Linked DNA regions of Canis lupus familiaris. The protein of the gene in region 1 interacts with the protein of each later gene in a pairwise test. Links are inferred from orthologs where the notes say so. Each region holds a gene or a part of one and is shown on either strand. Other genes may lie near its edges.

Evidence for each region.
Region 2: the proteins of RNF135 (region 1) and CTNNAL1 interact in binary tests that used the Homo sapiens proteins (3 or more experiments, as listed by UniProt). The two-hybrid records come from large-scale screens. The link is inferred for Canis lupus familiaris from reciprocal best matches to the Homo sapiens genes RNF135 and CTNNAL1.

Annotation. Positions count from the first base shown.
Region 1 is NC_049230.1:40,768,099-40,770,903, reverse strand, and holds part of RNF135 (E3 ubiquitin-protein ligase RNF135), read left to right. Parts: intron 1-933; coding exon 934-1,096; intron 1,097-2,805.
Region 2 is NC_049232.1:64,527,066-64,530,977, reverse strand, and holds the start of CTNNAL1 (alpha-catulin), read left to right. Parts: upstream 1-1,418; 5' UTR 1,419-1,500; coding exon 1,501-1,623; intron 1,624-3,354; exon of another isoform or gene 3,355-3,442; coding exon of another isoform or gene 3,443-3,475; intron 3,476-3,912. UniProt on the Homo sapiens protein: May modulate the Rho pathway signaling by providing a scaffold for the Lbc Rho guanine nucleotide exchange factor (ARHGEF1).

The DNA.
Region 1 (2,805 bases):
TGGAGAAACCTTCACTGATTTCCTCAAACAAGTGCCCCTGTTAGATTAGAGGCCCTTACAATTTCATGTAGCAGTTACCATAAGTTGCAACTTGACAATGATGGGTGCCATAATTTATTCATATCCATTCTCCTTCTTCCCTTGCCCTGGACTTGAAGCTTCATTATGGTAGAGACTTTGATGGCCTTTGTTCTTTTGTTCATTCTTGTAGCCCCAGGCCTAGCAAGATGCTTGCTGCACAGCAGGTGCTCAGCAAACACTCACTGAATGAGTGGAGACAGGGTCTTCAGGGCTGCAAGGTGTTGAGGGGGAGGAAAGCCTGAGAATCTGACTTTCACACTTGATCATTGCATTGGTTTGATGTGAGGATGAAAAAAAGCTCTGGTCTAAAAAAGTGCTCAGAAAAAGAAAAGTGCTCAAGTGGTAGGCAATTGCAGGACAAAAAAATTTACTGTGGTGACTGAGTTCACCATGAGTTGCAACTTCTTTGGTAAAAGGGAATAACCAACCTATGGTGGAAGGTTGTTCTACAAATTAGAAGTAAGCCAAAGAAAGTACTCTCTTTGCCTGTGTCTCTGCCTCTTTCTCTTTGTCTCTTGTGAATAAATAAATAAAATCTTAAAAAAATAGCTTATATATATATAAAAGAAATCCATATTTATTGTACAAAATACTAGAAAATACATAGCAGTTTAAAGAAATCAAACATCATCCACAACTCCACCACCCGTAAATAACCACTCTTTAATACTTTTGGCTGCACTATGTGTTCTTCCATATTGCTTTCATGTAGTTTGAGGGCCTAATTATGTTTTTAAAAATTTGTGAGGAGGCAAGTAGAAAAGTATAGATGGCAGAATTAGAATATACTAACTTGATGCATACCTTAGGAGACTTCAATTAATTAATTTATTTTTAATGATTCATCAATAGTCTTCTTCTGATGGGGCGGACCTTGCCTTGGCTTCTTCAAAGCCAGTGACTTCTGACACACCCGAGAGAAAAATGAAAGACATTCTGCATGACCTAGAAGAAATCCAGAAAAAATTACAAGAAAACTTCACATGGAAAGGGGCCCTTGAAGAACATCTGCAGGGTGAATTGATTTTATTTTGGGAAAGAGGATTAACTATGGAAGTTGGGGGAAATGACAAAGTGTTCCATGGCTTTGTTTTGGGGGGATGAGGATCCCAGAGCCCAGCTGTGGTGTTGTAAATGAGGAAGGAGTGGGCTGAGGTGTTTTTGTGGCTAGCTATGTGTTTTGGATGTAGCTGGAGGTGTGATGTAACATAAGCCTTTAAAAGATAGAAACTCATTTTCTGAGACCTATACATCCAGAATCTAGACCTGATTTTGCTGCTTGCCTGTGTTATCTACCTGGAGATTCAAAAATAGGCTGCTTTTTATGTTTAATTATTAAATGTCTTTGTTAACAAAGCATGCAACTTTGTAAATCATCCTTGATAAGTTCTATTAAACTGTCATCCCTGGTGAGTATACTAATAGTAAACAGTAACAATGCAGGAAAGAACCTCTCTGTCCTGACTTTGTAGGTTCTCTATTATAACCCTTGTCATGACTGAAGAACAATTCACACCTGCCCCTTAGACATTAGCCTGGACTCCTGCTCTGCCTCCTGCTCCACTGCCAGCTTTCTATACTTTAGAGACATGTCTCTTATAACTCTTTCTATGTTTAAATGATCTTACTCTGCTTAAAAAGTTATTTTTTATTTAGGTGGAGAAACATGATCCCTTGGGAAAAGTTTCTCAAGGAAACAAGTTAGAACATACTTTATTAGCTGCTGCAAAAATTATCTGAGAAATAAGTGCCCTCTTGGCTCCTGTGTGCCCCTAAATTTAGATTGGGTTCCTTAGTGATCTTATTTACTGACACATATTTGAAATCAATATTTAGGGGCTCCTGGCTGGCTCAGTTGGTGGAGCATATGACTCTTGATCTTAGAGCTGTGAGTTCAAGCTCCATGTTGGGCCTAGGGATTACTAAAAAATAAAATCTAGAAAAAGGGAGAAAGAAATGTTTAGATTTTGAGGTTAAATTTAAAATTTTAAATTCAGAAATCAAAACAATATAACAGCATACAATGAAAATCTCTTTCCCACCCTTGTCCAATTTTCCTATTGCCCCTGTCTCAGTTAACCACTTGTATTAGTTTCTTGAGTTCCCATTCAGAATTTACTTGTGCGAGTGACAGTTTAAATCACAGACAGGGGGTCATGGGTATTCTGGGTGTTAGAATGCTGTGACCTGCTGGAACTGTAATTTATTTGATAGATATGCATCTGACACTTACTTCCTATGTAGCTGGCACTACGCTTGGTGCTTAGAACATAAAGGTGAACAAGGTCTCTACCAGCAAGAAGCTTCGAGGGAAGCTGTTACCAGGGAAACGGGCAGTAAAAAAAAAAGGTCCATGGTGAGAACATGGGGCTGAACATACCTGAGCTGGATGTTCTGCCTTGATCCAAGTCTGACACTAAAAAAATCCACTAAAGAAACGTGATGAAGCAGGGCAGCCCCGGTGGCGCAGCGGTTTAGTGCCGTCTGCAGCCTGGGGTGTGATCCTGGAGATCCAGGATTGAGTCCCACATTGAGCTTCCTGCATGGAGCCCGCTTCTCCCTCTGTCTGTGTCTCTGCCTCTCTCTTCACTCTCTCTGAATGAATAAATCAATAAATCTTTAAAAAAAAAAAAAAAAAAAAGAAATGTGATGAAGCAGACAAGCCATATGCCCTGATCATGATGTTTGGATACCTTCTATTTGCCTTTTTTTTTTTTTTTTTAA
Region 2 (3,912 bases), on another chromosome or scaffold:
GGGAACTGCACATTTTGAATGAAGAAAAGTCTACATAATGTCTGTCTTCAATAGCAAAGATACCTATGCAGCACTGGCAGACGGAGCTGAACGCCAAGTGGGAATACTTGAAGCACATCTCACCAGTGCTTGGCAAAGAGCCTCTGACACCTGGAGTTGGTGGTATTGAGCTCATCAATCTGACATGGATGGAGAAATGATCTGGGTAAAAGTGAAGGGGTGGACTCGCCAGCCTCAGATTTTCTACTCTGCTAGTTGCTTATTGGCAGATATGGTAATTCACAAATATTTCTCCATGTCTCTCAGTACTTAAGCCAAGGATCCCCTCACAGGGTGGTGTGTGTTTCTGACAACCTTTTGGCTTTGCTTCTGGAACTCCTGGGGAAAGGGGTGGTCTGTTCTCCGTCCCATCTGATCATGTCGGGGCTTCCTGATTCTTAGCCTTACTGTTAAGTGGTTTAGTGAGAAATGTATACTAATGATCTTCTCAATCGATAAACAGCCTTTAGGAAACTACTCTGTGCTAGGCCCTAGGGGAGAAGCAATCCTGAAAAGTAGTCTTAGGGGCGCCTGGGTAGCTCAGTCAGTTAGGAAGCCGACTCTTGATTTTAGCTTAAGTCTTGATCTTCGGGTCATGAGTTCAAGCCCCCTTTGGTGAAGCTTTTCCATATGCCCTAGTTAATTTCCTTTTAGCCTAAAAGATACCCAAATCACTGCCTCGTTGCTACGAACCCAGACGTACTCCTTCAGACTGCATTACCAGGGGATCCCTGGGTGGCGCAGCGGTTTGGCGCCTGCCTTTGGCCCAGGGCGCGATCCTGGAGACCCGGGATCGAATCCCACTTCGGGCTCCCGGTGCATGGAGCCTGCTTCTCCCTCTGCCTGTGTCTCTGCCTCTCTCTCTCTCTGACTATCATAAATAAATAAAAATTAAAAAAAAAAGACTGCATTACCAAATGTTTCATTCTCAATCCAGCCCAAATTGTGAGAAAGATAGGGTCAGAGGAGGAGGAGGGGGAAATGGGACCTACAGGAGAAGCTGCAGAAAGACCCTTTTTCGTTAGAATAACTGCGTCAGGGTAAAAGACCCTTCCGGCAGACTTGACTGTGGTTCTGCTCCACCAGTTAGCTCAGCTTCCAGAAGTCCTCGTGGGAACTCGGAGTTAAGACGAGTCACCTACCAGGAGGACGAAAAGCGTTGCTGGTGGCAGGTGTCTGGTGTGGCGGGTCCTGGCGGGGACCAGATGGAGCGGGGATGCGGGGCGGACCCCAGGCCTGAGCGCGTGGGGGCGTGGCCCGGGCGGGGGCGAGGCCTCAGAGGGGCGTGGCCTCGGCGGGGCGTGGCCTCGGCGGGGCGTGGCCTCGGCGGGGGCGTGGCCCAGGCGGCGCGGTTCCCTGGCGGCGGCGGCGGGCGTGCAGGCTGGCGGGCGGCGGGCGGCGGGCGGCGGGCGGCGGGTCCGCAGTGGCGCGGCGTCCCGGCTGCGCGACGGGCCGAGGGCCATGGCCGCCTCCTCGGGCCCGGCCGGCGTCGGCGGCGCCGGCCCGTCGGGCTTCGCCTTCGACTCGGGACTCGAGATCAAAACTCGTTCGGTGGAGCAGACTCTGCTCCCGCTGGTCTCTCAGGTAAAGCGGCGCCCGGCGCGGCCCCTCGTCTCCCTGCGGCCGCGGCCCGCGATGGCGGCGCCCGCTCGCACGGCCCGGGGCCCGGGGCCCGGCGGGGAGGCAGCCCTGCCGCACACTCCGCAGCACGACCGCGGCGTCGGGTCAGGTCGGGTCGGGTCGGGCCGCCCGGCGGGGGTCTGGGGGCCGGCCTCGGCGGCGGCGGCGGTCTGGACCCTCCGAGGTCCCGCGAGGCCGGGGGCTGCGCGGCGGCGGAGGAGACGGGCGGGGGCCGGGGGCCGCCCCGAGGGCCCCGCGGGCAGGTGCGCCTCCCGGCCTGCCCCGAGCCACCCGCGTCGGGATGCGCCCCCGGTCCCCGGCCCCCCCCCGCCCCGGTCCCCCTGGTCCTCCCGGCCCCCTCGACCCCCGGCTCCCCCGGTCCCCCCGGCTCCCCCTCCCTCCCCGCCCCCAGGTGCCCCCGGTCCCCCCGCCCCCTCCGACCCCCGGCCCCCAGCCCCCAGCTCCCTTGGACCCCCGATCCCCCGCCCCCGGTTCCCGCAGCCCCCGATCCCCGGCCCCCAGTCCCCGGTCCTCCCAGACCCCCCCGACCCCCGGCTCCCCCGGCCCCCAGTCCCCCCGGCCCCCTTGGCCCCCCCGATCCCCCCGGGCTCCCCCGGCCCCCGGTGCCCCCGGTCCCCGATCGCCCCGCCGCCTCCGACCCCCGGTCCCCAGCCTCAGCTCCCTTGGACCCCCGATCCCCGGCCCCCCCCCGCCCCCCACTCCCCCAGTCCCCCCGGTCCCCCCGAGACTCCCCGCCCCCCCGCCCCCCACTCCCCCAGTCCCCCCGGTCCTCCCCGAGACTCCCCGCCCCCCCGCCCCCCCCCCGGCCCCCAGTCTCCCTGGTCCCCCCCCCCCCCGGCCCCTTTGGCCCTCCCCGGCCCCCGGCCTCCCCGGTCTCCCCAGCCCCCGGTCCCCCGGTCCCCCCGGCCTCTCTGGTCTCCCCAGCCCCCGGTCCCCTGGTCCCCCCGGCCTCCCGGTCCCCTGGTCCCCCTGGTCTCCCCGCCCCCCACTCTCCCCGCCCCCCCGGTCCCCCCGAGACTCCCCGCCCCCCCCCCGGCCCCCGGTCTCCCTGGTCCCCCCCCCCGGCCCCTTTGGCCCTCCCCGGCCCCCGGCCTCCCCGGTCTCCCCAGCCCCCGGTCCCCCGGTCCCCCCGGCCTCCCCGGTCTCCCCAGCCCCCGGTCCCCTGGTCCCCCCGGCCTCCCGGTCCCCTGGTCCCCCTGGTCTCCCCGGTCCCCCCGACCCCCCCGGCCCCCGGCCCCAGCGCGGGCTCCCCCGAGGCCGACAGGACCCTGCGGGGCCCACACGCCGGCTGCTGGCCACTCCGGCCGGGGCGTTCGTGCGGGTGTCCGGGCCCAGCGCGCTGTCCCCGAGGCCTTTGTCCCTGTGCCCTGCGCGTGTCGGCTCGCTGGGCGCCCGTTCACCCCGGGCCACCCTGCCCGCCCCCGCCCCCGCCCGTAACCTGCCGCCGGCTTCAGGCGGCTTTTGTGTGGCCTCGGCAGAGTGCCGCGGAGCCCGTCCCTCGGAGCGTCCGGGTGCGCGTCTTTCTGCCAGGTCCCGTCTGGGATGCGTGCTTTATTGTATCTGTTGGTCGTAACAGAAGCCTGGAATCAGCTAATTGGCCGCGCGGAGCCTTAGAGAAGTTTTTGTTGTAGAAGTTCTATGCAGCCCGCGGGCTGGAATTCCTCGCCTGGCTGCGCGGTGATGTGCCAGCCCTGGGGGAGTGGAGGATTCGGGCCTTCAGCGCGTTGGCGACTGTGACTCACAGCCAGATTGTAATGTCTTGATGACTCACGCTAGTGTTGCCAAGACTTTAGAGGTAGAAGGTACCTTAAAGGTTATCTGACTCTAAATTAAAAAATTCTTTCCTCCAGCATCCTTACACCTGGTCACCAGTCTCCTGCTTAAACATGTTCAGTGATGGGGAGCCCGTAGCGGTTGCGCAGAATTTACATGTTATCTCTTCTCCATCCCAGCCCTGCAAATATTTGAAAATAGCAGTGACACATGCCCCTGGATTCCTGTTATGCTGATTAAATAAACAGCTACTTTTCTCCTTTCTTCTTTTCTTTTCTTTCTTTCTACCTGTGCTCACTTTAGCTTTGCTAACAGAACAGTGAATGAATACCTAACACTACCACCCCTCCTTCCCTTCCATGTCTGATACAGTCACTGACCTGGGGAAAGGAGTACTAGGATCACTCCATAATCTGATCAGGACAATCTGCCCGGTCCTCCTCCCTCAAAAGAATGCCA